Notamacropus eugenii: one gene and its partner. The protein of the gene in region 1 interacts with the protein of each later gene in a pairwise test. Links are inferred from orthologs where the notes say so. Each region holds a gene or a part of one and is shown in the gene's direction. Other genes may lie near its edges. The genes, in order: BCL2L13 and PLP1.

Region 1 (16,221 bases):
GACCAACCCACGGTGAATTCTGCACCCAGACACCACGGAATATTGGAGCGAGGGAGATTTCTGTTCCGGAGAGACCTGCAAACCTCTCGTGGGGGGTCCTTCGCGCTGTGGACTGGGTGCCGGGACTGGGAGCTGAGTGCAGCCCTGCAGCGGCCGCGACACCATGAGGAAAAGATCTGAACGGGCTATGGGGACGAGATATCCTGCAGCCACGAGGGTCCCTCCACCCACAGAGGGACCTGCAAACCTCTCGCAAAAGGTCCGTTGCGCTGCAGACGCAGAGCCCAGCCCGGACCTGCGGCGGCCACGGCTCCGAGAGGTACAGATCCGAGCAGGCTTTAGGGACGGGATCTCCAGCGGCAGCACAAGCCCCCCCACCCACAGGTGACGAGGGTCGGTGAGAGAGTCTCTTTGGCGGGTCGAGAGGGGAGTGGGGTGCCCCCATGGCTCGGCCCCCTCCCCCCCCGGGAGATAGAAGCTGAGAGGCGGCTGCAGACTCCCCAAGCGGGCGGGAGCCTGGATCCATTGTGGAAGGTCTGTGCATAAACCCTCTGAGGGAACTGGGCCTGAGAGGCGGCCCTGCCCCGACCTGACCATCTGAACTTAATTCTCACACTGAATAGCAGCCCTGCCCCTGCCAAAAGCCCTAAGGCAGGAAGCAGCATTTGAATCTCAGTCCCCAAACGCTGGCTGGGAGGACCAGGAGGCAAGGTGGGTGTGAGGAGAATATTCAGAGGTCAAGCCACTGGCTGGGGAGAATGCCCAGAAAAGGGAAAAGAAATAAAACTATTGAAGGGTACTTTCTCGGAGAAAAGACACCTCCTCTCTTCCTTTCTGATGAGGAAGAACAATGCTTACCATCAGGCAAAGACACAGAAATCATGGATTCTGTGTCCCAGCCCACCCAATGGGCTCAGGCCATGGAAGAACTCAAAAAGAATTTTGAAAGTCAAGTTGGGAGAGGTGGAGGAAAAACTGGGAAGAGAAATGAGAGAGATGAAAGAGAAGCATGAAAGGCAGATCAGCTCCCTGCTAAAGGAGAACCAAAAAAATGTTGAAGAAATTAACACCTTGAAAACTAGCCTAACTCAATTGGCAAAAGAGGTTCAAAAGGCCAATGAGGAGAAGAATGCTTTCAAAAGCAGAATTAGCCAAATGGAAAAGGAGATTCAAAAGCTCACTGAAGAAAATAGATCTTTCAAAACTGGAATGGTACAGATGGACGCTAAGGACTTTATGAGAAAGACAGATATCACAGAACATAGCGTGAAGATTCGAAAAATGGAAGATAATGTGAAATATCTTTTTGGAAAAGCAACTGACCTGGAAAATAGAATCAGGAGAGACAATGTAAAAATTCTGGGACTACCTGAAAACCATGATCAAGAGAAGAGCCTAGACATCATCTTCCATGAAATTATCAAGGAAAACTGCCCTGAGATTCTAGAACCAGAGGGCAAAATAAATATTCAAGGAATCCGCAGAACACCGCATGAAAGAGATCCAAAAAGAGAAGCTCCTAGGAACATTGTGGCCAAATTCCAGAACTCCCAGGTGAAAGAGAAAATATTGCAAGCAGCTAGAAAGAAACAATTCAAGTATTGTGGAAATACAATCAGGATAACGCAAGATCTAGCACCCTCTACATTAAGGGATCGAAGGGAATGGAATAGGATATTCCAGAAGTCAAAGGAACTAGGACTAAAACCAAGAATCACCTACCCAGCAAAACTGAGTATAATACTTCAGGAGAAAAAATGGTCTTTCAATGAAATAGAGGATTTTCAAATTTTCTTGATGAAAAGACCAGAGCTGAAAAGAAAATTTGACTTTCTAACACAAGAATGAAGAGAACCATGAAAAGGTGAACAGCAAAGAGAAGTCATAAGGGACTTACTAAAGTTGAACTGTTTACATTCCTACATGGAAAGACAATATTTGTAACTCTTGAAACATTTCAGTATCTGGGTACTGGGTGGGAGTACACACACACACACATGCACACACGCACACATACATAGAGACAGAGTGCACAGAGTGAATTGAAGAGGATGGGATCATATCTTAAAAAAAAAATGAAATCAAGCAGTGAGAGAGAAATATTGGGAGGAGAAAGGGAGAAGTTGAATGGGGCAAATTATCTCTCATAAAAGAGGCAAGCAAAAGACTTATTAGTGGAGGGATAAAGAGGGGAGGCAAGAGAAAAACATGAGGTCTACTCTCATCATATTCCACTAAAGGAAAGAATAAAATGCACACTCATTTTGATAGGAAAACCTATCTCATAATACAGGAGAGTGGGGTACAGGGGCACAAGCAGGGTGGGGGGGAGGATGGAGGGGAGGGCATGGGGAGGAGAATGCAATTCGAGGTCGACACTCATGGGGAGGGAAAGGATCATAAGAGAATAGAAGTAATGGGGGTCAGGATAGAATGGAGGGAAATATAATTAGTCCTATACAACACAACTAGTATGGAAATCTTTTGCAAAACTACACAGATTTGGCCTATATTGAATTGCTTGCCTTCCAAAGGGAAGGGGTGGGGAGGGAGGGAGCTAAAGAAGTTGGAACTCAAAGTGTTAGGATCAAATGTAATGTTCTTACCACTGGGAAATAAGAAATACAGGTTAAGGGGTCAAGAAAGCTATCTGGCCCTACAGGACAAAAGAGAAGACGGAGACAAAGGCAGAGAGGGATGATAGAAGAGAGAGCAGATTGGTCACAGGGGCAATTAGAATGCTTGGGTTTGGGGAGGGGAGGAGATAAAAGGGGAGAAAATTTGTAACCCCAAATATTGTGAAAATAATTGTTAAAAGTTAAATAAAAAAAAAAGATTCTGAATCTCCTTTTCCAGTGGGTTAACTTTCTTTTCATAATATTATTTTTCTTGGGTTGTTCTTATTTTAAAAAATTTTTTCTCAAATGATAAATGTTGGAGAAGATGTGGGAAAATTGGAACACTATTGCATTGTTAGTGGAGCTGTGAACTGATCTAACCATTCTGGAGAGCAATTTGGAACTATGCCCAAAGGGCTATAGAACTGTGCATATCCTTTGACCCAGCAATACCACTTCTAGGTCTGTATCCCAAAGAGATCATAAAAATGGGAAAAGAACCCACACATACAAAAATATTTATAGCAGTTCCTTTTGTGGGGGTAAAGAATTGGAAATTGAGGGGATATCCAACAACTGGGGAATGAATGAACAACTTGTGGTATATGAATGTAATGGAATACTATTGTGCTAAGAAATAATGAGCAGGCAGACTTCAAAAAAATCTGGAAAGACTTATATGAACTGATGCTGAGTGAAATGAGAAGAATCAGAAGGACACTGTACATAGTAGCAGCCACATTGTGTGATGAATGACTTTGATAGACTTAGCTCTTCTCAGTAACACATGATCCAATACAACTCCAAAAGACTCATGATGGAAAATGCTATCCACATCCAGGCTTTGATTACTTCATCTGAACTGATCATTTTTCATTTGGGGAATGACATGTTCTTATAAATTTGATTCAATTTCCTATATATTTGTGGGATGCAGGCAAAGCAGTCCTTAGGGGAAAATGAAAGTATCAAAAATGAAAGGGGTGAATTCACCACCAATGAAGAAGTTAAAGCAATTATCAGGAGCTCTTTTGTCCAATTACATGCCAATAAATCTCATAATCTAAATGAAATGGATCTCTAAAAATACAAATTACGCAAATTAACAGAAGAAATAAAATACATAAATAACCCAATCTTATAAAGAGAAATTGAACAAGTCATCCATGAACTGTCTAAGAAAAAAATCCCCAGCATCAGATGACTAATATGGAAATATTTTATGTGATTGCAAATGTATAACCTATTTCTGATTGCTTTCTATCTCTAGGAGTAGGAAGGAAGGGATAATGGGAGGGATAGAATTTGGAACTCAAAACTTCAAAAAAATGTAAAAGAATTGTTTTACCATGTAATTGGGGAAAAAATACAAAGTATATTTAAAAAGAGTCTAGATATAATCTTTCAAGAAATTATCCAGAAAACTGCCCTAATGTTCTAGAACCAGAGGGTAAAAATAGAAATTGAAAGAATCCATTGATCACTCCCTGGAAGAGATCCCAAAATGAAAACTCTCAGGAATATTATAGCCAAATTTCAGAACTCTCAGGTTAAGGAGAAAATATTGCAAGTAACCAAAACCAATTTAAATATTGTGGTGCCACAGGATAACACAAGATTTAGCTGCTTTTACATTAAAGTATCAGAGGGCTTGGAATATAATATTCTGGAGGACAAAGAAGCTAGAATTACAAGCAAGAATCACCTACCCAGTAAAACTGAATATAATCCTGCAAGGGAAAAAATGAATACTTAATGAAATAGAGGACTTTTAAGCATTCCTGATGAAAAGACAAGAGCTGAATAGAAAATTTCATTCTCAAGTACAACACTTAAGAGATGCATAAAAAGGTAAACAGGAAAGAAAAATCATAGGGTTAAATGGTTTACATTCTTACATGAGAAGATAATACTTGGGTTTGGTTTTTTTTTTTTATTTTCAGTGTTCTCCAATCAGTACCAAATAACTTGGATTTTTTTCCCTCCCTCCCCCTCCTTCCCCTTATCCTTCCCCCTTCTTCCCTGAGACAGCATACAATTTTATATTGGTTCTACATATACATTCCTACTAAATACATTTTCACCATAGTCATGTTGCATAGAAGAATTAAAAGGAATGGGAGAAATCATATAACAAACCAAAACATAATGATCTGCTACATTCTGTGATTGAATTCCATAGTTCTTTCTCTGGATATGGAAGGCATTTTGCCTTAAAAAATCATTGGGAATTTTTTAAGTACTTGCATTGCAGTAAAGTTCTAAGTCTACCAGAAAAAATCCTCACACACTGTGGTTATTGCTGTGTACAAAGTTCTCCTGGTTCTGCTCCTTTCATTCAGCATCAGATCATATAAGGCTTTCCAGGCCTCTCTGAAGTCTTCCTGTTAATTATTTCTTATGGCACAATAGTATTCCATTACATTCACATACAACAGTTTATTCAGCCATTCCCCAATTGATGAGCATCCCCTTGATTTACAGTTTTTGGCCATCATAAAGAGTGCTGCTATAAATACTTTTGTACAAGTGAGACCTTTTCCCATTTTTATGCTTTCTTGGGGATACAGTCCTAGAAGCAATATTGCTGGGTCAAAGGGTATGCACATTTTTGTAGCCCTTTGGGCATAGTTCCAAATTGCTCTCCAGAATGGCTGGATCAGCTCATAGCTCCACCAACAATGAATTAGTGTTCCAACTCTCCCATAACTTCTCCAACATTTATCATCTTCCTGTTTTGTCATGTTAGCCAATCTGACAGATGTGATGTGGTATCTCAGAGTTGTTTTGATTTGCATCTCTCTCTAATCAATAGTGATTTAGAGCATTTTTTCATATGACTGTAGATGGCTTTAATTTCTTCCTCTGAAAACTGCCTGTTCATATCCTTTGACCATTTATCAGTTGGGGAATGACTTGTATTCTTGTACATTTGACTCAGTTCTCTCTATATTTTAGAGATGAGGCCTTTAAGAAGATGATACTTGTAACTCTGAAGAATGTTATCATCATTAGGCTGGAAGAAGTATACACAGATAGACAGCTTGGATGTGACTTGATTATTATCGGATGATATCTAAAAAAATAAAATTAAACAGTGAGAAAAAGGAAGGGGAAAGGTAGGGATAAGGAGAAGTAGAATAAATGTACCTAAAAGAGGTGCAAAAGAGCTTTTGCAGTATAGAGGATGAGCAGAGAGGTGGGAAGGAGAGCACTTGATCCTCAACTCTCATTGGAATTGGCTCAAAGAGGGAATAACATACGCACTCAGTTGGGTATAGAAATCTATCTTATCCTACAGAAAAGTAGGAGGGGAAGGGAATAAGAGAAATGGGGGGATGGTGTTAATAAAAAGAGAGGTTTGGGTTGGGGGAAGTAGTAGTAGGAGTCAAACCACTTTTAGGATGGACAAGGTGAAAGGAATGATAAGAGTAGGATAAACAGAAGAAGAAATAGAATGGAGGGAATACACAGGAATCATAAATGTGAAAAAATTTTTGCAGTTAAGTTTCTCTGATAAAGGCTTTATTTCTCAAACATATAGGAAACTGAATCAAATTTATAACACAAGTCATTCCCTAATTGATAAATGGTCAATTCAGATGAAGTTATCAATGTTATCTATTGTCATGTAAAAAATGTTCTAAATCACTATTGATTCAAGAAATGAAAATTAAAACAACTCTGATGGACCACTTCATACTTATCAGATTAGCTAATATTACAGAAACAGAAAATGACAAATGTTGGAGGGGATGTGGAAACACTAATGCACTGTTGGTGAATTTGTGAACTAATTCAATCATTGTGGAGAGCCATTTGGAACTATGTCCAAAGGGCTATAAAACTTTGAATACCCTTTGACCTTGTAATACCACTATTAAGTCTGTATTCCAAAGAGATAAAAAACAAAAAGAAAGGGACCTATTTGTACAAAAATATTTATGGCAGTTCTTTTTGTGGTGGTAAAGAATTGGAAATTGAGGAGATGTCTATCAATTGGGGAATAGCTGAAGAAGTTGTGGTATATGATTGTGATAGAATACCATTGTGCTATAAGAAGTGATGAGTAGGATGTTCTCAGAAAAGCATGAAAAGACTTACATGAACTGATGCAAAGTGAAGTGAGCAGAATCAGGAGTACACTGTACATAGGAACAGCAATACTGTAGGATGATCCACTGTGAATGTCTTACCTATTCTCAGTAATAGCAATAGCAATAGTCCTGTAGGTCCTCAAGTGCAGCCTTTTGACAGAATCCAAACTTCCCAGAACAAATCCCACATGTGGCCTCAAGGCCACAAGTTCTCCACACCTGATCAAGAGAATTCCAAGTGACTTTCTCCACAGAAAGAACTGATAGAGTCTGCATGTGGATCGAAGTTTGCTTTTTTTAACTTTATTTTTCTTGTTTGTTTTTGTCTTTTCTTTCACATGACTAATATGGAAACATATTTTACATTACTGCACATGTATAACCTATATTAAATTACTTGCCTTCTCAACGAGAGGGGAGGAGAAAGAGGGAAGGAATGAATTTGAACACAAAATTTAAAAAAAATGAATGTTAAAAATAGGTGTGCTTGAAAGAAGAGAGACTTGAAAGAATCCAGAGGTGGATTTAAGCAGGAAGAGCATGTCAAGCATGGGAGACAAGCAGGGAAGCTGGACTCGTGATTTTGGAGTGTGTTTTTTTATATGGATTTGAGTAGCCAACATGATGCAGTGTACATTGTGTTGGGGAATATCAGGCCTAAGTCTAATCCCCACATTTTAATAAGTAAGCACTTAACACTAGAAGAACCAGGCCATTGATGAAGAACTTTTGTATTTTTACTATAAGTTGCTTTAATTACTGGGGGCAACTAGTGGTGCAAAGCATAGAGCACCAGGCCTGGAGTCAGGAAGACTAAACTTTGTGAGACCAAATCCAATCTTAGATACGTACTAGCTGTGTGACCCTGGGCAAGTCCCTTAACTCCGTTTGACTCAGTTCCTTTATCTGTAAAATGAGAAGGAAATGGCAAACCAGTCCAGTATCTTTGACAAGGAAATTCCCAATAGGGTCATGAAGAGATGTACATTTCTGAAGAACTTTCTGAACAGCTCTCCATGCAAATGTACTTTAAATATACATATTTGCAAAGAATTTCTAATTTTACTTTTAAATAAAAAAAATTCACCTCAGAATCTCTGTTCTCTTTGCCTGAAGCAGACATTTTGATTTTACTTTGAAAAAAAATTTCACCCTATCTCAAGTTCCTTTGGCTACTTAAGGTAATTACAAGCAGATTTTCTTGAAATAAAAATTTTTATCCTATCTCCATTTTCTTTGCCTCAAGGTCTTGGATAAACAACAGAAATGTAATGAGTCAATTAACTCAGCTTCCTCTTTTAGACCTTGTCTTGACTTCTGGTGCTTCTCTTTACCTAGTGACTGAACTGTATAGGAAATTGCTAGATTGCTAGGCAAAGGTGGGAGAATTGCCTAGAGTAGTATGGTATTTCATCACATAACTGTTACCACCGTATGCTCATCACACTCTGTTTTTTGTCTAAAAATTGGTTTATGACATTTCATCGCATAATCGTCCCATGGTAGAATTCTGCTCATCATACTGCTTAAAAGGTAAACAGAGAAGCATATGGATACATATGTATCTTTGGCATTGTGACCCAGGTGCAAGGGGAGAAGGCATTGAGTAAGTCGCTCCATATGGTCAGACTTGTATCTTCCAGCGCTAGCTAAAATGTACAGTTTGTCTTTTGGCAATATATTCATGGGCAAAGCATTTCTTTCTGATGATAGGTAAATATAAAAACTATTCTGCCGGCTTCACACTGAAAGTGATTGTGTTGCTAAACAGTGTTGTGGATTCCTGATGTGCAGGACCCTCTCAAAGAATTCAGTCTTCCCACCTCTAATCCAAGTACTAGGCATTTATTGAGATTGACGTCTCATGAAGTGGGCTCAGTTCCAAGAAGAACCAGCAACTTCAGAGGAAGCAAGATGGATTTTTATAGGATAAAGATGCAATTATATAACAGAAATTATGAATATTAAAAAGGCAGGAGGGGTTTGCTAAAGGATTGGGTAATGGAGGTTTGGTGGTTAAACATTCTGGTCGCGCTGCCCTCCATGGGCAGATATTGTGGTTCTGTCTGGTCAAGAGGAAGAGTTAGGTAGTGTGGTCCTGTCTTGGCCTAAATGGACGACGTGACTGCGGTTGAGTGCAAGAACAGGCCTGTTCAATTACGTGAACTGGATCTGAGGTCAGTGGTTAGCTATGGCCAGCGGGCTTGTTCGGTGAGATGGTCTGAGTGGTGCTAGACTGGCAGAAACTAAAAGACAATACCCGCACGTTTGTTTTTTTTTAAATAAATCTTCACATAATGGTCACACCCCACTTCTTTTGGCAGGACAAAATCTACAGTGATAATGAGATGAAATAGTCATCCACTTGAGTCAGAGCGCGATACACCCAGTATGTGTCAGAAGCTCGCCTATGAACCCACAATTCCAGGGTTTGGGGCTGGCTGTCTCTCCACAACACCCTCCGGCCCTCAACTGGAAAAACTAAGACCAGGCCGCCCACCTCCAGACGCCTTCGGACGTAATGACATCACCCCACCCTACGTAATGACATCCCCATATCCTGCCCAATGACACAGCTCTACAACGTAATGACGCCACCGCCAGCCACCTCACAGCGCGTGTTTTAGAAGTAATCCCTCGCCTCCCCTTTCTACTTAGTTAGGAATGAGGCTCAAAAAGACATAAATTGTCTTTTTAACCTATGCTTACTCCCTCTCCCCCCATAACCATCCATCTTTTAGCCGAGCCACGACCGGAAGTAACTGCAGTCGCCGTCACTTCCTCCCCACGCTACTATAGAGTGGCGCTGAGCCGGAGGTGGAGCTGACACCGCAGACTCCTTCCGGTTGTGTCCGCGCCGGATCTCTCTCTCAGCCAAATCCCCGGACACCTCCCCCTCAACCGGAGGGAGGGGCTCTGCTTGCCTCTGGCCCTCCTTCTTTCGACCCTCCCCTTCCCGACCGCCTAGACGCTAGCGCTGACGTCACCACGCACGGGTGACCTCCGCCTCCATCATGGTCGCGGCAGTAGATTAGGGTCGTGGGCCGGGCCAGTTGTTGTTGCCGCCACCGCTGCGGGATTGTTTGAGGACCCACCGTCGCCGCAGCCGCTGCCTCCTCTCTCTCCTCCTCCTCCTCCTTCTTCTCCTTCTTCTCTTCCTTCCCCGGAACCAGGGCCAGGTGATGAGGGGACGGGGTCCGGGCAGCCAGGGCCGGGCCGGGCCAGCCGAGGAAGCCGGGGCTGGAGCCGGGAGCTCGGGTGCCCTAGCTCGGCCTCTCCTTCCCAGCCCTCCCCCCGCCCCCGTGGCTTTTGTGCTCCCAGCTCCCCTCCCCAGGCCCAGTTGGGGTGAAACTAGACCAGTCCCTGGCCTCGAGCCTCGCTTTCCAGCGACAACTTTTGTCCTGGGAGAGGGAGTGGGGTCGCTTCCACTGCAGGTCCGAAACATGAGGCTTGCGTGTGGTTGGAACTCAGAGACCTGATAAATTGTAACTCTCCTGCTTAAGTGTGATCAAGTCATGTTACAAATGATACTGACTTGGGTACGTCTGGGTCACTCGCCCAATCGCTGGTGTGGGGACTAGTTAGTATGACCCCGGATTAATGAAGCCACAGAGAAATGCTGGGGTCCATGATAAATCCGACCTATCAAGGTTTTTGTCAGGAACAAATGAGGTAGTCTATGCAAAGCGCTTGGCAAAGGCTACTTGTCAGTAAACCGGGCTGATTCTTTATAGTTTGCTTCTGGATTGCCTCTTTTCATCAAAATGGGGGAAAACGAACGGTTGAAAAAAGCTGTTTTCACAGGTTCTTTGAGAGAAAATTTAGTACCAGAACGCCAGTGTTATTTATTTCTTCCCTGACGTACTTAGAACTTTGGATAAGTAGACACTTTCTTCTAGTATTTTTTTTTCCTCTAGAGAATTGAGCAAGTACTAATCTGCTGGTGATGTTTTTGTGCTTGTGAAATATTCACAAGCCCTTGGGTAAATGTACCTTGTGTATCATGATTATTTAAAGCATTATGAAATAATCTTTATTTAGCAATATGAAGCTGGGGGAAATGGGCTCAGAAATTATCCCGATGTAGATCCTGTTCATTAATCATTCAGTCTGGAGATATGTGGAAATAATTATAGAAGCTAATTATTATATTTTTCAGACATTTATTAAGCACCTACTATGTGGCAGGTATGTTTGGTACTGAGGATACAAAATTGAAAACCAATACAGTCCCTTCTTTTAAGGAATTTACTATTTTAAGTCGACAACTCTCTCATCTCAGAAACACTTCACTTTTCCATCCGTCAACCTGACTCACCTCTGGTGTAGCCAATTGTAATAGGGTTCAAATTGATCTACTTGCTTCTTCTCCAACACCTACCCTCCACACTGCTGCCAAATAATATTACCAAGTCTTTATCTTCCTTTCTTGGCAACCCTCTTTATCTAACTATTGCTGCTAGGGTAAAATCTAATTATCTGATAGTGCTCTATGCTTGATGCTCCTTTGCCTTCTCCCTCTTTTCCTCTTACCCAGACCCCAAGCATAGGTTTTTACCTTTTATTTTTTTCCTTTTAAATCTTTTCTTCCCAGTTACTTGCTCTGAATTTTGTTGTGCCTGTGATTAATCTCTCTCTTCTCTACCCTCTCCCTGTTCCTTATCCTGTTGAGTTGAATGTATTTCTACACCAAATCCTTTGTTCTACCCTACTTGGACCAGTTTCACATGACAGTGAGGTTAAAGTGATACCAGTTTCTCTCACCCCTTCTTTTGTAGAGATTTCTTTCCATACCTTGATCAGGTGCACACATCAGTTTGACACTTTTCTTAGATCTTTGTCTAGTCTTGGGGGGAGTTATCCCATCTTTCAGGCAGACAACATGCACAGTTGAAATGGCCCTGAAGCCTTATGAGCACCTAATTTGGGTAAGGGGAAGCTCACCAATGAGAGCCCAGCTCCCCAAGGGTAGTTCCAACTGAAATACATTAGAGAAAAATGAAAGTGAGGGAGCCTATATAATAGGTTGAAGATACTATACTAAACCTTATTCCTTCCTATTTTGAAGGATGTGAGATCATGTTTAGTAGATTATGTAAGCTAGAAGTTAATATTTATTAGAAAATTCAGTTAACAAATAGCTATTGAATACCTTTAATATTAAACCTTCAGAGCAGGGGTTCTGAATCTGGAGTCCTTTAACTTATTTAAATATTTTGATAGCTCTTTCAGTAGAATTGATCTCCTTTGTAATCCTAAGCTTTTTATTTTATGCATTTAAAAACATTCTGTGAAGGGGTTCATTGGATGCTGTGTTCTTGACCCCCAAAAAGTTAAAGACATCTGCTTTAAAGTATGATGTTGTTTCCCTGTGTTACCATTTTTTGTTTTTTAGCAAAACAAAAATGTTGTTTTCTCACAATGAGATTTTTAAGTAATAGCCCAGCCAAATAAGGTGGTTGCCATATAGCCCTTTACACATATTTCATTTTATTGCAGAGGATTGTGCTGAAGGCAAGAGGTGCCTTGAAATATGAGCTGTATATAGAAAGAGTGGGGCTTGAGGGATAGATAGATATCTTGATGGATAGATAGACTTTCTCCAGTAAGGAAGACTTGAGATCATGAAAAATTCTTTTTGTGACTGTTAATTGGAGTGGCTTATCTGTATTGGTAGAAGTTTTCTATTTTTCTTTCTATTCTTGCCCTGTCCCTACCCTAAGCAAATTTTTTGCACTAATATCACACTCACCATACTCATCACCTATTTATAGATAATCTTAGGGAAATTTAATTAACTTATTTTGAAAAGCACTTCCTGAAAAGTTCTGTTTGTAGTAGTAGAGATCAGAAACAAAGCATAAAGAAATGCCATTCAGTGACTATAAATATTTTTGGGCAGTTATCACAAAGTTTTAACTAGTGTGTTTCAGTTAGATATGCATGTTTTTGAGCTCAATGGTATATTATTTATTAAAATACCATACTTAGCCTCTGTTGTATTTTTTAAACAAGTTATATCTTGACTGGCTGTGTTTCCCACTATGGTGGAATGTCTGCATCTACAACTTGTATTTAAGCATCTTCATTTTTTGCTCTTGAAGAGAGATCTAAAGACATATAAAACATCAATGAAGTACTTATCTCAACTGACTACACCAACAAATTCTACATAATTTATCAAAGTGATGCCCCAAAAGATTTAATCTTTTCTCTCCTACTGATATCCCAGTATCTACTGCAACTAGCCCTGGCTTCATTTCACTTCCAAGTCATCTCCCCAGCTTCTTTGCCTTTTGAAGCAGAAGCCTTGGTGGTTGTTGTTTTCAGTTGTATGCACCTCTTCATGACCTCATTTGGGGTCTTCTTGGAAAAGATACTGGAGTGGTTTGCCATTTCCTCCAACTCATTTTACATATGAAGAAACTGAGGCAAACAGGGTTAAGTGACTTTCCCAGGGTTACACAGCTAGTAAGTATTTGAGGCTGGATATGAAATCAGTCCTGACTCCAGCCTGGCATCCTGTTCACTGTGCCACCTAGCTGTCCCCTGTCATTAGTAGTCCTTATTGTTGTTCTCTACCTATTATATCTCCTAGACTCCAGGCTAACTTCTTGTCATCTCCCTTTCCCTACCCCTTCTGGTTCCCACCTTACAATTCTTGAACCATAATCAAATCAATGTTTCATTGCCCTTGTGAAGGAACATTTCAAAACACTACTACTCCCCCTTTCACTACTCTTCTAAGAGAATGTAAACTTCTCACAAGTCAGTCCGTCCTTATTTTAGTACTAGCCCTAGCTCTTGTATTTGTTTTCTCTTGTCAGTTCTTTCATCTTTTAGATCCCTTCCAGATCTAAATATATGAGATAAATAAAGTAAATTATTGTATTAGTCAGATTATTGGTGAAAATTTATGCAAAGCATCCTGCTGATATCAGTATCTTTGAGATGTAAGCAGAGAACTGGTAGTTAGATTATTTTCAATTATAGAGCAGATCAACTTGATTCCATTTTTTCATCTATAAAATGGAATTAAGATGTGTTAATTCAGCTCTTCTGTTATAGTAGTGTTAATAATTTTATTAGGTTTATAATTTTAGGAAAATTTTAATTTTAAAATGGTTTAAATTTGTTTCTTTTCGTTTTTTGATAACACTTTAACCAGCTTCCCTTCCTCCTTGACCAATGCTTCCTTCTTCCCCTCATAAGCATAATCCAGCAAAACAAGTCCTTATATTCAGTAAGTCTAAATATTTAGGTCTCATGATGTCCTTGTAGTTAGTTTTCTCTTGATCAAGATTTAGAAAGCTTCAGTGATCTTTTTATAGGCCAGAAGATAGATCCAGAGAATCCATGTGACGACTAAGATCATGAAACTGGTTAATACTGTCTGGTATTCAAGCCCAGATCTTATAATTCCAAATCCAGAGCTCTTTGTATTATGCAATAGATAGAAACTGGAGTCAGGAAGACTGGAGTTCATATCTTGCCTCAAAAGCTCACTAGCTGTGTGACCCTAAGCAAGTCATTTAACCTCTCTGTTTCAGTTTCCTTCTCTATCAAATGGAGATAATAATAGCACCTACTTCCCAGGGCTGTTGTGAGGGTCAAATGAGTTAACATTTAGTGTCTTGTACACTTTAAATCATTATGTAAATGCTACTTTAGCAAAATTGTTTATAAAATATTATACACATGAAAGTAATTTTTAGCCTTACTGTTATACATGGAAGTAGCCACCACATATTGGTTTGTTTAGTAGGTTGTTGTAAAGAAAGTATGCAAACTGAAGGGCACTATCTCCTGAATGTCTTGCACCTTTCCTATGCTTGTTGTGTCTTTCCATCATTACTTGATGGATTATTATTAATCTTTTGTGAATTCCTGTTAAGTTCAACTCAGATGTCACCTTTTCTACAAAACCTTCCAGATCCATATATTGTTCCCTTTTCTCTTTCTGAAATTCCAGTCTCATATCATGAACATTTCATACTAGATAATTCATAATCCAAAGTCCTCTTGTCTAAAATAACACTATCTTTTCTTCTGTACTTCCGTATTACTACTGTCCTTCCTGTTACAAAGATTTCTAACCTCAGTGTTCACTCCTCATTTTTCTTCACTTCACATGTCCAAGTTGTCATATCTTGAAAGTTGTATTTACATTCCTTGCACCGCCCCTCCATCTCCACTCTCTGGATCAAACTCTCATCTCTTCTTATCTATGTTATTGTGCTGTCTTCCTAATTGTTCTTTCTGGCTAAAATCTCTCCACAAAGTCCTTCACAAAGCTTCAGAAGTGATTTTTCTAAAGTATAACTTCAGTTTTTCTGTTATTTCTGATATCAAATATAAGCTCTTTGACATCAAAGGCTTTTCATAATTTGGCCTCTTTCTTTTCAGTCTTCTTTTATACATTGTTCCTCTATTGTCCAGCCAAAATGGCCTACTTGTTATTCTTTACACAAAACCCTTCATCTCCTATCTGAGTGTTTCTGTTTTGGCTATCTCCCGTGCCTTGGATGTCTTTCCTCCTCGCCTCTGTCCTTTCCAATCCCTGTTTTTCAGCCTTTGTTGTTGTTTGTACTTCATTTTCAAAGAGCACCAGTGACGTCATGGGTTGATGTCTTGGTTTTAAGTGAGGCAGAGTTGCACAGAGTTGTCTTCTTCACTCTTTTCCTGAGTCATTGAAGTCCATTGAAAGGACAAAAGTCAAGATGGGCAGTGGCCCAGGATGTCTGACCAAGCTCTAAGCAGTCCATGGCCCCTGCTTCAGCGTCTTTGTGGTCTTTGTAACAAATTGTTTTCATGTACTCGTTCCACTGGGGAAAATCTTCACATGCTTGGGGTAGACATTTGAGGTAGACGTTTGAGACCCTTTGGTTACCTTCAACTTGTTTTAGTCTGCCTGCTGAGACTGCTTACCAGGGTGTGGCTGCTATGCGTGCCACAGCTTGGAGACTTAGGTGAGAGTGGACACTAAAGATAGATGAACAGCCCTTAAAAGAGCTAGGCAAGCCCTCACACCAGAGGTGCTAGTCCTCCCCAAATACCAATACACCCTTTGTACATGTTGTCTTCCCCATTAGAATGTAAACACCTTGAGCTTAGTGACTTTCACTTTTGTCCTAGTGCCCTTAGCACTTAGCATAGTGCCTGGCATATATTGTAATAGGTACTTAATAAATGCTTATTTAGTAGTTATCTAACGGGGTGTATGTGTGTGCAGATTAGGTACAGTGTTTCTGTCCTATGTTTCTTTTTTTTTTTTTTTTAGCAAATTTTATATTGTTTTCAGTCAGCAAAAATCTACCTTTTCAACCAGTCTAAATCCTGTCCTATGCCAATGGAGGATGAAAAGACCTCCCCAAAAAAACTTCTGTTAAAGACACGTTAAGTCAAGCAAAATCAATTTCTGCATTGGCCCTGTCCAAAGAACAAATAAATCTATAAAATGTGCACATAAATGTGTATATATGTATCTCTCCATATATATATATCTG
Region 2 (16,815 bases), on another chromosome or scaffold:
AAGTTGTTGTATGGCAGAGCTTATGAATTTTCTTTGAGAGTGGGAGGAGTAGAAACCTCCTTGGAGGTGATGGGAGAGGGGCACTTAGTCCATGCTCTGCAGTACTTTCCCGCTGCCCTTGTCTCCCTTTATGGAACATAAACAAAGTCACAAACACTGTCACCTGGTCCCATTAGGTAACTCTAATGTGTGATCTTCAGTGTCCTTCTGGACCAGGGCCTGGGAGTACTGCTCAGACCCCCAGGGCAGCAGTTAAGATGTAGTGCAGGCCTGCTCTCAACTGCCAGGGAGCTGCTGGAGCAGATCATGGAAGCCCAGAGCAGCTGGTGACAAGAAACATGTGGCTATGTTGGGGGGGGGGTCCCTCTGGCCCCCTATCTTCCTGGCTCTCTGCAGAAGATCGTCATCCAGATCACACTGTGTGTGTCTTGGCTTTGATTCTCATTCATGAAATGGGGAAGGCTCAAGACCACACACACCCAACTGGCCACATGTGTGTTTGACCCATGGCCTCCACTCCCTGAGTGCCGGTCACTGAGTCATTGAATTTTAGAGTTAGAAGGGGCCTCAGTGGCACCCAGACCTGAACAAGAGTCCTCATTATACTGTCTCCCAGCTTGGGCCCCAGAAGTGGATATCCAGCATCTGCTTAGAGGGCCTCCAGGGAGATGGAGCCAGTCCCCTCTCAAAGAAGCCCAGTCCACTTTGGGGTAGAGCTCACTGGGAAGTTTTACCTGGTACCAAGTTGCAAGTTGCCTCTTTGCACCTTCTCCCCTCCCCCCTTCCCCCTGCCCATCATTGTTCCCTCATGTATCCTCTGGGGCCAGGCAGAGCAATGTTAATCTTTTCACATGCCAGCCACTGGATCCACCCAATCCAATCCATCCATCCATTAATGGAAGGCAGCCAGCCATTGTGTCTGCCCTAAGCCTTTTCTTCCCTGGAGTCAACATCCCTGGTTCTTTGAACCTATTCTCACATGATGTGGGGGCAAGGCCCTTTGCCCTCCAGCTGATGAATGTCCTTCTCACACCAGCACCCAGAATCACACACACTACTCTAGGTGTTATCTGACCAAAGTGGGCAACGGCAGGACTTGTACCTTCTTGGAAGTCATGGCTCTCAATGGAACCCAAGACCATGTGGGCAGCTGGAGGCCCAGCAAGATGATCACACAAGCACATAGGCTTATCTTAGGTCGTTGCCTGCTCCTGGACTGCCTCCCCTTAGCTCCAGGGGAGTGTTTGAGACAATGGTCTTGACAACCTTGACCCTACTGGGCACCACCAGTAAGACCCTCTGGCAAGGGTACTATTGAAATCTAGGTTGGCTTCTTGGAAGACTACCCTACCTGGGGACAGGAAACCAGAGTCCCCCTCTCCCACCATCTTGTAGCCATTGAGCCTGGAGGCTGAATCCTGTGGGAACCCTGAGCTCCCCAGCGAAGAGTCTGCAGCCGTTCATGGCCCATAGGTCTGTGGTTAAGAATCAGACACCAAACCAGGTAAAGAGACTCATGCCATGTTGCCCTAAGGGAAGGCAGGCAAATTTTTTTCCACCCACCCTTTCACCTCCACCTGAGGTGGGGCTGCTAAGGAGGGGAAGAGAGACTTAGAGGGACCTTGGCCAGGACAGCAGATAAAGAACAGGGAGGTGTTTTGGCCTCAGAAAGAGTGTCCAGAGTGGAGGTCATGTGGAAGGCTCAGACTAACAGGTACTCAGCCACAAGGATCAACCAAAAGCATGAGAGAAGGAGAAGGGCCACTCGGCCCTCCTCCAGCATCAAGGAGGCCTGGCCTTGGGAAGGCACCAGGCCCACAGACACTGTCCAGGGAGCTCTACTAAGCCATGGAGGGAGGCATACTGTGCTGCTTGGGTTTTACTGTCCTCCTTTAAAGCAAACTTATTGCTGTAACATTGAGATACCCCAGGAGTGGGCCTCCACATCCTGAGGACACTGGGCACAGACTGCTGGGGACTTCTTTGTTGACATCTGCAACCCAAGAGATGTACCTGAGGTTCCTGGGATGTTACACCTAGAGCTGAAAGGAGCCATGGGCCCTCTAGCCTAACTCCCTCATTTTACAGAGGAGGAAACTGAGGCCTTTCTTGGCCTGAAGGCATCTCTGACTACCTGTGTGGGCCTCAGTTTTCTTACTTGTAAAATGTAGGTGCTAGACTATATGACTAGCTCTAGATTTATGTGGGATGACCTATACACAAGGGTCACAACTGGGACCCTGCTCCCACTCCCCTGGAGGGGAGCCTCTTGTCCCTCCCTTCAGGGCCTCACTGGCCTGTGGACTACTCAAACTTTCTCAGTCCATTTGGGTTTCTGGTGTGAATGGCAGTACTAGATTGGAATGCAGGTTCAAATCCTCCCCAGACTTCCTAGTTATGTGACCCTGGGCAAGTCAGTTCTTTTTTCCAATCCTCAGTTTTTTCATCTGTAAAAGGGCTGCATAATCCTTGCATTGCCTGCCTCTCATGGCCATTGGGAGGTCTTATAAGTCTTAAGGGCTGTTTCATTTTGGGGGGATTCTATATCCCTCTGACTGTGGTAAAACTCAGGGACCCCTTCTCAGAAACATGTTTTTAAATAACAGAAAGAAATGCTAAGTTTCAGAGGTTACTGAAAATGAAGATGTTAATTTTTTTCCTAGCCAAGTTCATGTCACTCCCCAATCTCTCCATGGACCTGTTGGGGCTCAGGTTAAAACCCCTTCTGGGTCAAATAAACAAGAGTTCTTGTGGCCATGGGGTATGGGCCCTCTGCTGCCCACCCCCCCAGAATCACCTCCTTCAAGCTTGGCTTGTTCTACATCTGAAGCTGGGCCACCCCAGGAATCTTGGGGGCTTGTTCTCCATCTCCCCAGGGCCTAGGGGAGCCAAGAGCCCCATGTGCATTGTGCCCAGCAGTTCAGCTCCACAGGCTCCAAGCTTCCCTCAAACCCCTGGTTCTCTTCTCCCAATCTGCCTGCTGGCCATTTCGGAGGACCACTCCTTCCACCTCAGGCCTGCCTGAAGTAAGGGCTGGGGAGGGAGACAGGCAGCAGCCGCAAAGCTGGGAAAACATGGGGTGAGGCTGCTGATGGGCTTTTTGCAGGTGAAAGACATCCCCTAGACATCGGAGACAGTGCTAAGAGCAAGGGTGTCAAGGCTAGCCCAGGGGGGCTTTTTCTTGTTTCAGCCTTGTGAACAGAGCCTGTGCTGATCCAGTCAAGCTTGCCCCCCTCCTTGATTGGGCTGCTTGGCCCCCATTGGTCCTCTAGGAACTTGGGAACTAAGCAGGGGCAGGGGAGGGGGAACAGGCACATTCACAAATGAATACTCTGAGGGCAAAAGGCAGGACTCAACAAGGTTCATGCCAAGCATCCCTGGGAAGGAGGGATGACTTTCGGTGGAGAAGGCCAAGGACCAGATGGGTATGGGTCCTGGAGGTAGTCTAGTGCATATTACTGCATGGTACCAGGGCAAACCACTTCCTGCCCTTTGGGCCTCAACTTCCTTATCTACCAAACAGTCAGTAGCATGTTTAGGGAAGCTGCAGAGAAATGAAGGCTGTGGCAAAAGCCTGGAGGAGGGCTTTCCAAATGATTAGCATGGGGAAATGTGTGAACTCAGTACAAGAAAGATTTATTGATGTGAAGGGAAATTGATGTGTGGAAAATAAGATTAGGGAAGCCAGACAGGGGAAGGCCTTCAGTTCTTACCAGGACAGCTCCTATTTGATCCTCAAGGCACTAGAGAGCCACTAAAGATTGAGTGGAGAGAGTGACACGGTGGTCAGGCCTGTGGTATAGGAAAATGGTTTGGGTAGATGTCTGGAAGCTGGGTTGGAGAAAAGGGCTGCTTGGGTGAGGAGGCCATTTCAATAATATAGGGGAGAGATAATGAAGGCCTGAATTTGGGCAGGGCCGTGTGAATGTAGAGAATAGAATCAGCACTGCTTGGCAAGACTGGCTACAGAGGATGAAGGAGAGGAGAGAGTAAAGGATGACCCCCAAGTTTAGACCCCTAGTCTAGAGAAAGCTCCTTAGCCCAGGGTTTACAGACCTGCTGCCCCCAAGGACTCATGGCTAGATTGGGGTGGGAGGCTGGGGAATGAACCTAGATAGTAAAACAACTACATTTTTTTACTAGGCTGCAATTGAAATTTCTTATTTTTGTCAGTTCCTTAAAAGCATGAGGGCCTAAGGAAGGCAGGTGTATGCACTGGCAGGGATCTGTATCCACAGAATGGATGCCCCTGGTGGGCAGAGGTCAAAGCTTGGGGGAGAGGTCTGGATGAGCAGTCAACTGGCTCACTACCTCCATTCAGATGCAAATGTTTTTCTCTCCCGTTCCCATGAGTGGGACTGGTATCTGGCAGGGCCGAGAGGTCAAGGCTGGAGGAAGGCAGGGAGGCTGAGATGCTTGGACCTCACCTCACCTTGGCCGTGACTTGACTCCCAATTGACCATAGTGAATCAAAGTTTAAAGAGTTGAGACCTTAAGGATTCTTTCCTGGAAACTGCCTTACCCAAGTATCAGAGAGTATGCTTTCTGTTATCTTTGTAGGGAATTTCTGGACTTCTCCTCTGCCTGGGAACAGCCTGGGATTTCAGAGGAGGTCAGGGCTTGAGGGGAGGCCCTTGGTTCACAGCTTGACAAGTGTCTGCTGATAGCTGAGATGCCTTGTTTGGGAACCCCTAGGTAGGGCCCCCATCCACTGGCTGTTCTCCAACCCAAATGTGAACCTAAACCTTGGCTCTCATTCAAATGTCTCAACCCCCACCACCATAGATCCAAGTTTATAGTAGAGGGTTAGTGAATGTTTGTGGCCTAAGGCTACATGTAGCTCAGACCTCCTGTGACCTATGTTCTGAGGCATGATGCTAGGAAAAGACCCTGCTTCATCCCCATCTGCCATCCCCAAGTGAATCAGCCTGCCTTGGAAGGTGAGAGCTGGTAGTTTGTCCTTCATTCTGAAAGAGGACCAATGACATCATGAGGGTGATGTCTTTCCTTGTGAGTAAATTGGGTTTAAGTGAAGTAGAGCCCCACAAAGTCATCAGCCTCACTCTCTCTTCCAGTCATCAAAGTCCGGTGGAAGGGCAAAAGTCAAGATTGGCTATGGCCCAGGATGCAGTGGATGTCCTTGGCTTTTCTAAATCAAGGTCTTTCCAAGGCCTCAGTTTACCTGAGCCCACACACCCATTCAGTGACCAAGGGCTAGGTAAGAATTGAGACAAAAGATGGCCTAATTTACCAACACATCAGTCTGGGAGGGGCAGACCCCCCAAATTTCTGACTGGAAGAGAAAACAATAGCTATTTACATTGATTGGTAACTGGTGACCTTTAAGACAAGACTGAGTAGCTCATTCAGGATTCTCTGACTCCAGCCTTCTCTCTGCAGACCACAGAGGTGGCTAAGAGCAGATGTCATGGCCCTTGGGAGAACTGCTTCTGTCTTGGACTTGGCACATGACTGTGGGCTCTCTGGGAACCCTTTCAGTCATGTGTGCTGTCATTGGGCTTTGTGATTCTGAGATCCCCACTGTATTGTGTGTCTGTTCTCTGCCACTGGCTAGGGAGCAGGGCAGGGGGCGCCATTTGCCAGGGCTTTGAGGGATCTAGGCTTGCTGGGCTACCCTGGTGGATTTCTACTTCCCTTCTCCTAAAATACTTGTCTGACGTTGGGCTTCCAGGTGATTTTCAGCTCCATCCCCAGTACTTGTACCCTTGGCTTTCCTCACACCTCACCCACCCCACCTCTTAGAGCTAGAGTCATAGCTAGAGGTTTCCATTCTCAAGCATCTCCACTCCATCCACAGCCTGGCCAGACTTAGCCCTGGGCCCAAGAAAAGCCAAGTCAGTGGATATGGGGAGGCATAAGGTAGAGGAAGCTGAGGACATGATGTTCACATGCAGTATGTTGCAGATGAGCAAACCTCTGCCCCAGGCTTAGAACAAGTATAGAAAGTAACCCATCTCTTCCTCTGATTATCAGTCCAAGGAATATTTCCCAACAGTAAAGAACCTTATATAGGTGATGAATTTCAATTTTCTCTCAGCTGAGATGAGGCCTTCCTCCTGACTCGAGTCTGAGGGGCCAAGTTCTAATCTTGCCTCTGCTCTTACAACTTGTGACCTTTATGGGTCTCAGTTTCCTTATCTGTAAAATGAGGAGGTTAGGGTTATGATTGGTCCAGCCCTGGATCTTTGAACCTACGATCCCCCATTAGCCTCCACTATGATTGAGCACCTCTCCTGGGCCCTTGGGGCAGCAGTCACTTGGACAGGCACGGTGGGGCAGGAGAGCCCACCTTCTGTGACCTTTCTAGGAGATCAGGCACACAGGGAGCCCTGAGGAGAGCCTGGAGCTGCCCACGGGGTAGCTCCTAGGAAGGGAGGCATGCACCCCAACACCAGCTGCCATGCTAGGTGCCCACATCCTATCAGTTGGCCTCAGCGTTGCATGAAGCAAACTGTTTACCACTCCTTACACAAACGTCCATTGTTTCAGAGGCGCCCACTGCTCCAGGCATCAAGCAGCTGCGGAGAAGGCTGGCACTGCCCTCTGGAGGGATACCTGGGGAGTGCTGGGGAGCCCTGCCAAAGGGATCTCAGGTGGTTGGGGCAGAGCTGGGGAGAGCCCCTCACTTGCCAGCTCATGTGGCCATGTTCCATTTGCTTGGCATTTCTATGACTGTGCTGTCTCCCAGGGCCTGAGAGAGGCTCCCAGGCCTCCTTCTGTAGGCCTGCTGGGCCCCAAATCCAGAGCACAGACAGGAGGCCATCCTCTGGCATCCCCTACAGAGAGGGAGGCAGGGCAGGACAGACAGTGGGAAATGGGAAAATGTAGTCGGTAAAATGGAATTTCGTTGGCATTCCTCTGGTTTTCTTCCAAGCAGGTCTAGTCCTGGCCCTATTTGCTGATTTTGCACTATTTACAAGCTTCCAGAATATGAATGACTAACGGGGAATCCTTTGTGTCTGGACACAGCTTTAGAGAACCCTGTCCCTTTCTATCCCTCCCCTCCAATCCAAATCATCCAGGGCAACTCAGCATAGTTTTACTAAATAGTGGCCCAGGACGCCACAGGGAGGTAAGGCTAGATTTGAACTGAGCTCTCTGCACTCCAGAGCAGGTTACATTGTCACCCCTCCCCAGGAGAGAACAAGACCGGGCTCCCAGGATTTCCTCCCCAAGCAGTAGAGTCCAGCTGGTGGCTAGGGGCCTGGGCTGAGGCTCACCCTTTGGGGGTGACCGTGTGAGCTTCTGCATGAGAACAGGACCTGAACACTGAGATTGAAACTGCAGGGGGTGGGTTTATTCCAGAGCGTGCAAGCTTGGGTAAGTGATTCCCCCTCCCACTGGGCCTTAATTTCTCCCTCTGTAAAACGAAAGGCTTGGATTAGATGATCTCCCAAATCCCTTCCAGGTCCAAGGACATAGCCTATCTGGGCCCATGCCAGCTCATCCCTTACCCCAGCCTTCAGAAAGTTCACTCTGCCCCCAACAGAAAGGCAAGAAGAACATCATGAACTTCCCAATGTGGTCATGAGATCAGAGCAGTAATAAGTGAGAGCGAGGGAAAGGAGCCAGAGAATGTCCCCTCTGCACCTCCCCCTTCCCCTCTGCAGAGGTAGGCTGCATGGCAAGGGGCTGGGCTCACGGACTCTTCCCACAGCCAGACTCTTGACATGTACCTGTCCACCCCAGCAATGGGCAGAGGAATCCCAAAGGCCCCCAAACCAGAGGAGGGCCCACCTCCTCCAGAAAGCCTGTGGAGATGACCACTACCTCACACTGGACACCAAGCACTCCTGGACTCCCCTAACCCTCGGGGAACACTTCTCCCTTTGGTATCCTGCTACTTAGAAGCCCACCACTCTATACCAGGCTCTCCCTACTTGTTCCCAGACCACTGCAGCAACCTTCCCAATGGTCTCCTTGCCTCCAGCCTCTCCCTTTTCTAGTCTGTCTTCTACACAGCTGCCAAACTTCTACTTCTAAAGTACGTCTGACACATCTGACCATGTCACTCCTTTGCACAAGATGTTTCCTCCAGGATAAAATGCCACCTCCCCTGTTTGACTAATTTCATATGAACTGTCTCCTCCCTCCACGGCCCCCACCTCACAAACTCAACTCTTACTTGTTCTTCCTGGTACCTAGAATTCCATTATCTCCTGCCTCTGTGCCTTTGCCCAGGCTGTGCCCATGTTTAGAGTTCTTTTATTCTTGGTTCCTTTCAAGTCTCAGCTCAAGGGTCAAGTCTCACCTACTAGCACCTTTTTCTGACTCTTCCTGTGATTAAAGCTTGGCTGCACACAAGCACAGTGGAATGTCAGCCCCTTGGGGGTAGGGTCTGTCTCCCCAGGGCCCAGCACAGCACTCGCCTTTAATGGAGGCTTCCTAGGGCTTCCTCATTCTTTTTCCTTGGCTTTTTGTCTGGCTCCCTGAGACACTAACTTGGGGGGTAAGGGCAAGCTCCATATGCCCAGCATCTGGCACAGTACCCAGCACACAGTAGGTGTTTACACACAGGAGGTGTTTACTTGTTAAGTGATTGTGCATTTGGGACAAGGTAACCAACAATTCCTCAGTTGGATCTTGGTCTCAGGGCATCTGACCATCTCATCTTTGGAACCCCACCCCACTCCATTCCCCCCAGTGCCATCCCCCCTCCTTTTGCCCATCTGGCTACCAGAATCATTTCCCTTCTGGCAACCCCCAAGCCATAATTTTTGATGTTACTGAGGAAGAGTGGGAAACCACACTGACAGCAACGAAAGGGAAACAAAATCCAATCTGGCAGCTGTGGGGGAAAAGCAAAGACACAGCAAGCCCTAAGAGAAGGGAGTATCCCGGTGAGGGGGGGGGGGGAAGGGGAGGAGAGGGGGCAGAAGGGAGGAGGAAGAGGAGGAGGAAAGGAGGCCTGTCCCTTTAAGGGGATTGGCTGTCAATCAGAAAGCCCTTTTCTTTGCTGGAGAAGAGGACAAAGATATTCAGAGTGAAAAAGTAAAGGACTGAGGAAGGAGAGGAGAGAGCAGCCAGGATTCTCCTCCCTGAAGCAAGTCTGTCCCAAAGTCGGAGAAGCAGCCAACCCTAGTTGGAGTCCGGAGTCCCAAAGCCATGGGTAAGTTTGCCAAGAACTTTAGCCACAGACACTGGAAGGTGGGACTGGTCCAGAGCTGGGGTCAGGCTGGGGATGCCCTTGGGGCTTTTGAATTCTAGGACTGGAGCATTGGGTTTCTAGTGATTCTGGGGTCAGGATATTCACTTTCGGCCCTGAGGGTGCTGGGTGCTGCTGCCTCATCACTCTCCATTTAGGATCCTGCTGGAGGAAATGCCAGTCAAGGAGGATAGATTGGCCTTTGTCCCTTTGCCCGGCTCCATTTGTCTCCCTCTTCCTCCTTCTCCATTGCTCTAAGGTCTTAGTGGCTGCTGGGCCTCTCCTTCCCCTCTCTTCTGTGGGACCAGGCTCAGAGTCTCTTGGAAGCTGGCCCTTAGCTCTGTCTGTCATCTCTTCATGGCTTGGTAGAAGCCTGGGGGCGCTGTCCTCTGGCACATTCCCTTCTAAGCAGGGTCTTCGGGGTACAGTTATCCCAGCCCATTTGTCAGCTAGAGTGTCCTTCACAAGAGAGTGTACTTTGCTCCTGTAGAAATGCAGGCTTTGCCTGAAAATCTCAATCGCTTCCTATAGGAACTCCACTCCAGTGACCCTCTGGTTGGTCCCCAGACTTCTGCTACACATAAAGTTCTCACTAAGATGACCATTTGTGTTCTTTCTAGTCCTTTCTGAAGGATGGAAAGAGGGACCAAACATTTATATAGTGCCTACTATGTGCAGGCACTGTGCTAAGTGCATATTTGTAAACAAATATGATCTTGTTTGAACCTCACAACAGCCCTGGGAGATAGGTGTTATCATTATCCCCATTTTACAGATAAGAAAACTGAGGCAGGCAGAAGAAAAGTGATTTTTCCAGGGTCACACAGCTAGTAAGTGTCTGAAGCTGGAATTGAACTCTAGTTTTCCTGACTCCAGGCCAGTGCTATATCCATTGAACCACCTAGTTGTCTCAGTGTACAGAGGCATCTTTTTGCAGGCCTTGTACTGCTAGTGGGGTATAATAGAAAGAAGGTTGGCAGAAGAGTCAGGAGCCCCCAATTCTGTCACTCATTAATTGTGTCATCTTGGTCAAGTCACTGTCTGGGTCTCAGTGGCCTCCTACAAAAGGAAGTGTTTGGATGTCCTGATTTCTAAGGTCCCTTACTGCCTCAGATCTCTGGCTTGGCTTCCCCTAGCTGTAAAATGAAGGAATTTGCTTGCATGCCCTTTCATCCCCATGCTGTGGTATAGTGGAAATCCGGCTGAATTTGGGGAGGATGAAGGTTTGAATCCCACTTCTGTCACACTGGGCAAACCGCTTAACTTCCCTGAGCCTTAGTTGTCTCTTCTGTATGATGGGGCTAATAATGGTACCTCCCTCTCAGGATTGTTGTGAGACTCAAGATAGCATTTGTGTAAAAGTGCTTTGCCAACCTTAAGATGTGGGCTCTGATGATTCTTAGGCACTATACCTGAACATCAGTTTCCTCACTTGGAAAATGGAGATAATAATCATTGTTCTGCCCCCTTAATAGGGTTACCAGTGGTCTTATACAAGGCAGTGAATGGGAAAGTTCCTTAAAAGTTATACTCTACAAGCACATGAGGGCTTGACTCCGAGCTGGCTCCAGCTCCCTGGGGTGGTTGAGCCCTTCCAGAAAAAGTTCTTGGAGTACTCTAGGTATTAGTGTCAGAAACATGTGGTCACCAGAGGAAGGTGTCTGGGGAAATGTCCTCTGGAGACAGTGGGATGCCAGGCTCCAGTCCTTGGAGATACCAAGGACTTGCCATATGGGCCAGGGAAGAGGGTACAAGTGAAGTGGTGAGTGGCTCAGGTTCCAGATAAGAAGGGATGAGGGTGAGGAGGGGTGTGAACAGGCTGAAATGCAATGCCTTTCTGCCAGCCAGGTATTGGCTTTAGATTTCAGCAGGACAAGACAGCCTCAGATAGAGGGTACTGCCAAAAGAAGGGGCAAATCGTACTGGAACTAGGCTCAGAGATAGGCCATATGCATCAGCTCCCACCTATTGGGTAGATGGAGAATAGTTCAGCCCGCTGAGATGAGGCCACCTCATGATGGCCCCCGGGGCTGTGGCCCCAGCCAACTTGTAGCCATGACATTGCAGAATGCTATAGTGTCTACCCTGGTTCCCGAAAAGACTGCAGGGATTGGGATTAGGGAGGCATCAATGACAGGTCCTTATGATTTGGCTTTGGTGGGGGACATGGACAACAGGGCAGAAGAAACCCAGAGCAATGCCAGATTCTCTTTTCTTGGTAATTGATCACCCCTCTTGGAGCAACAAAACTTTGGTTCCTAGAGTCTAGCCTTTAAGACTGAAGATTGAGAATGGTGGCTGTTACCCTGGTAACCAGACATCTTCTGCTTCATTTGAAGAGCTGTTGTTTACTGAGAAGGAAGTTTGGGCTTGCTTGGTGTGTGTGTGTGTGTGTGTGTGTGTGTGTGTGTGTGTGTGTGAGTGTGTGTGTGTGTGTGTGTGTGTGGAGGGGGGCTCAGGAGAAGAGTATGAAGGACAGAGCTCATGGCTCAGTCCAACAGCCCACAGCACCAGGAGACAAACTGGGTTCCATCAGCAGCCCTGATGTTACTTGAGTGATTATCGAGGAACAAACGAACATGTTCTTACTTAGCCAATCTGTTCCTGAGATAGCAGACTAATGCATTTGGGAGACCCCTTTGTCCCTTCTCTGACCTCCTCCCCACCAAAGCTAGGTAAACAATGAGCTCTGGGATAGGCAGACAGCAGGAAAGCACCAGAAAGAGCAGTAAGGGAGGGAAGGAGGAGAATCTCATCCAGGAAGGGAGACAGAGGTTTGGGAAGAGCCCTGGAATGAGAATCAGAGGACCAACCTAGGTACAATTCCCACCTTGAAGCATTTTGGGCAGATCACTCCCCCTCTTGGCTTCAGGTTCCCCATCTGAATGAGATGAGAGTCTCGTCTCGTCTAGTCTAGTCTAGTCTGATGAGAGCATCAGACTAGAATGATGTTCTTTAAGGTTCCTTTCACCCCCTATGTTCTATGGTCCTATGAAGCAAGAAACAGAGAAAAGGGTTTGCCTTTCTGAAGGGACTGGCAGCCAGAAACCCAGTGCTTCTAGATTTTTGTGGAGCAGGGGAGAGTGGGAACAGGAGCGAGGATTTGGGCCCTGGACCCAAACCTGTTGGGAGTGGAGCCTGTTCCAAGGATGGCATGCATCCTTCCCTCCCTACAGAGGAGGAAATAGGCTCAGAGATATGAAGGGATTTGGCCAGGATCTCCCAGGTCAGCAGTTACAGAGCAGATGGGTTTGGCCCATCGTTCTCTGGATCATAGTCTTCTGCCTTCCAACCATGGTGCTCAAGGAATGGCAGAATGGTCCAAATGCTGCTGCCCCAGAAGGAGACAGTTTCCTCTAGTGGTCATCAAATGGCAGAACTTCAAGTGCTATGGATGATCACCTGGTCCAACTGTCTTATTTACCAATGAGAAGACCTAAGACCCGAAAAAGAAGGAAGGGACTTGGCTAAGCTTCCTCAGCCAGCTAGCCAATGGTGGGGCTCATTACCTGACCTCATGTACCTGCCACACTTCATCCTCAGGTGGGGATCCCCTCACAGCAGATTGCCTCAGGGTTCATGCACCTTCATCTTCCCCACTCCACTCCCCCAAGCTGGCTTTGGAAGTCTCAGCAATTGGTCCTTGGAGCCCAAGGGAGGTACCAAGGCAGCAAATGAGGAAGGAGCAAAGAGGTGGAATGGGGAAGGAAGCCAGCTCACAGATAAGGCTTTGTCCAACTGTGCTCATCTTGGCAGCAAGGGTCATTGTTTATCTTGGCCTTTGCATGCTGTTTGTTAGTTCAGTCCTAGAACCCACCCACCAAACCTCACCCATCCCCAGTACCAGTCACGGCTGCTCTAGCATCTTAGACCTGTCAGTTCCCATAAGCCCCTATCAAGGAAGGCTCTGTTGACAAGGGCAGGGCTGAGAGGTTGGCCCTGGGTGGAGGGGGCAGAACAGGTCTCATGTCTGAGACTTAGAGATGAGAGCTCTCTTAACGGAGCCTGCTGCGTAATTAGGCCACCTCTCTCTCCCCTTTTGTCAGATGAAAGGGATAGGCTAGGAATTACACAGGGCTATGTTTTGTTGTCCTTGTCTTTCCATCCTCCGATGATCCCCTAAATTGCTGCGGGATTTTCACCCTCAAACCAATCATGAAGGGGACAAAGACTTGGGAAGCTAGCTTGTGGTAAAAGGCGATGGCTTCAGGTGGGATCCGGTCCTCACAGGTTGGCATCAATCTGAGGAATAGTTCTCAAGCCCCTGGGGACTCCAGCTGGTGACAGTCCTGTGACCTCCAGAGCCCCATGCAGGGTTCGGAGGGGAAAGTGCTTCAGGGCCAGTGATGGCTCCCTCTGAATCAGACCAAGTGGTCCAGATCTCTTAAAGAGTTCACTGACAATGAGCTCCAGTCAGCACCAAGTCACACAAAATCTCTTTGAATCGACACTGTCTCACACTGTCCTTTGATGTTTTCACAGGTTTTAGTCTAGCTGGAGAGAGAGACTCACCAGGATCCAGAATCTTAGAGCTGGGAGGGACCTCAGAGGTCACCAAGCCCACTCTCCTCATTTTACAGCTAGGAAACTAGGAAGTGACTTGTCTAAGGTCACACAAGGTAGTAAGTGGCAGAGCTGGGATTTGAATCCAGTTCTTGGAACTCCAGGTCTAGCACTCTTTCCACTGTACCACAATGCCTTCCCAAGACTATCAGCTCCTTGAGGGCAGCCACCAGAAGATGTCTTTTATTTTCTTCATGGCTTCTTGTCAGAGTCTTCTCAGCTATTCTTGTTTTCCCCATAGCACATTTAAATCTTGACCTAAAGTTTGCAAAGGATCTTTCTCAAATGACGTTAGAACGTAGGTAATCCAATGATGATGGTCCTCATCCTCAAGTCCAGGGTACTTTGTGCTGTGCTAAGATGTTCTCATGTAGTGGAAAGTTTGTGGGGGACTGTGAATCACATTGAAATTCCATCTCTGGAGCTCCTTAGCTGAATGACCTTAGGGAAGTCACCTTACCCTTCTGAGCCTCAGTTTCCTCATCTGTAAAATGGGAATAATGATACCTGAAGTATATCAGTAGTCAAAGGTTTTATTGTATTAGCCGGAGAAGTCTGGGGATATGACATCTCCCGGTGGATGAAAAATAGTTTCTCCAGAAAGCTCTGAAGGCCAGGGTGTTCTTGATAATAAAAGATTTTAAATGGAGAACACATGCCTCTTCTAGATGCAAGCAAATCGCTTGGCCTTCTGCACTGCAAATATTGACTTATGTCTATCGAATCTCATCTAACCAGCCTGCATAGCAGAGCCCATGTGAGCCTCAGCTGGAAGGGGACCGAGGACTGCCATGTGCACTCCAGGGGCCCGTATTCCTGGCATTTCCCATGTGGAGTCTGAGGTTTGGAGACATAACTAGGGCAGGGCTACTGGAGCTGTTTGCACACTCTAAGTTTCTGGACCCCGGCGAGGAGCTCTCACACGGATTCCTTCAGAGTAATTAAGCCCCCTGTCCCCACCTGAATTTGCTTTAATTACCTCCTTTTTATTTTCATACTGTGAATTACAAAGTTGCCTTTGAGGGTGCTTTGGGGCTGCTTGCCCCAAGAGACAAAGATGCCAATTGTGGTTCTGAAGACCAGTCAGACTTGCCCTCTGAGAATGCTGTTGGAGCAAACGGCCTTGTAAACGCTGATTTTCACTTGTCAGTTGGTCCGGGTCCTGGTGCTGGTACTGGTGCTGTCCCTGATCCTGGTGCTGATCCCAGTGCTAAGGACCAGGCCATGTCTGTCCTTAGTTGGGTTTCCATATTATCGAGGAGTTGTTTCTAGATAACCAGCCAGGTCTGTTTATTTTGGCCTTGATGTTAGATTTTTTTCTGAAACGTCTGCTTTTGCTCTCCCTTTGTTTTGAGCTGCAAATGAGGCACCAAGATATGCTAAGGTGTTTGAGGTCTGGGGAGATGCAGGATTAAAGGAGGACAGAGGAGCAGCTGGCAAGTCAAGCCCCTCCTTTCCCTGCTCCTGATTTAGCCTTCGCTGGAGCTAGGAGCATCCCAAAGGAAGGTCTTTCTGCCATTTGGAGGAGTGTGTACATGCAGAGTAAATGTGCTAGGTTGGGGAGGGGGCAATGCAGATCTTTGGCTTTTACTATATGGGCCTGCCCTATTTGGGGCAGCCTGGACAACGGCCAGTGGGTAGCACCCTTAACCCTTTCCTCACCACAGAGTCATTCCGTTGTTGCCCATCCTTCCTCCCACCCCCAACCCCTAGCAGCAGAATACTAAGGAGGCTGGAGAGAGGTAGCCTTGGTACAACAAAGCTCTTTTGTTCTGGAAATTGTGGAATGCTCTGTTTAAGTCCTGACCTTGTGGCAGGGTGAAAAAGTAGCAATGGGGTCACTGACCCCCCCAGAATTGAAGGGCCCTCCTTTAGAAGAGATTAAGATAGAGAAAACAGGGAGGAAGAGAGAGAGATGGAGACACAGAAGGAAAACATCAATATTGTCTACCTCAAAATTTCCTTTTCTCTTAACTCAGCAAAAACAAAACAAAACAAAACAAAACCGATTAGGATTGCTTGGGAATAAGGAATGTACCTTTCCTTCACTCTAAAAAGCAGAAGACTCATTTCAAGGGTTGTACTAAGAGGCACCATCTCTCTGTCACTCTTACTCATTGTGTGGGTGAATAAAGGCCTAGGTCTGTCAAAGCTCTTTTTTGGAAAGTTCTTGCTGACTAAACTTGGCCTCCATTCTCATCAGCGATGCAGCACTGCTACCTACATTCTCTGGACCCCGTAGAGTTCTGTGGTCAATTTTGGGTGCCATATCTTAGAAGGGACATTAACAACCCACACCACGGCCAAAGGAGGGAAGCCAGAAGGATGAGGACACACAGGCCACAGAAGAATTGTTTGAATAGTTAAATGAACTGGGAATGTTTAGCCTGGAAAAGGGGAGACTTGAGAGGGGAGCATGACAGCTGTCACATGGAAGAAGGAAAAGAATTAAGTTTTTAAAAATCGTTTTATTTTATTTTTGCATTGCTGTAATGAAAGACTTGCCTCCCTCGGCCACTCACCCCCCATAATGAAGAAGTATATAGTTGAGCAAAGCAGACAGACACATGGATCATGTATGATAGTGAATGATTCTGGAATCTACCAGTGACATCTCTCAGTTCCAGAGGACTGGTTGAAGCATGCCCCATTCAGGTCAATGGTGGGTCTGAGTTCCAATGTCTTGCTGTGGTTTTCCTTGTCCATCATTATGGACATTATATATTCAGTTCTTTGGGTTCTGCTTAGTCTGCAGCAGTTCAAATAGAATTATATTTAAGCAGCTTGGTCCTGGAGGTAAGAACTAGGAGCCATGAATAAAGTGACAGGAAGGTAGGCTTTAATCTTAATTGAAAGCCCAAACTTCCAGCCTTAAGTACGATGGGCTACTTCAAGAGTTACTGAGCTCTGAGGCTGGATAAACACTAGTCAGGGATGGTATAGACAGAGAGGATTACTGATCTGTTTCACTGTTGGCTGGGTGAAATAGTCACTTTGCCCAGAGGCTGAATCATCTGATACTACTACTACTACTACTACTACTACTACTACTACTGCTACTACTACTACCATCACCACCACTACCA

The links.
Region 2: the proteins of BCL2L13 (region 1) and PLP1 interact in binary tests that used the Homo sapiens proteins (3 or more experiments, as listed by UniProt). The two-hybrid records come from large-scale screens. The link is inferred for Notamacropus eugenii from reciprocal best matches to the Homo sapiens genes BCL2L13 and PLP1.

The regions. Positions count from the first base shown.
Region 1 is NC_092874.1:207,161,022-207,177,242, forward strand, and holds the start of BCL2L13 (bcl-2-like protein 13), read left to right. Parts: upstream 1-9,540; 5' UTR 9,541-9,894; intron 9,895-16,221. UniProt on the Homo sapiens protein: May promote the activation of caspase-3 and apoptosis.
Region 2 is NC_092879.1:92,931,285-92,948,099, forward strand, and holds the start of PLP1 (myelin proteolipid protein), read left to right. Parts: upstream 1-8,966; 5' UTR 8,967-9,126; coding exon 9,127-9,130; intron 9,131-16,815.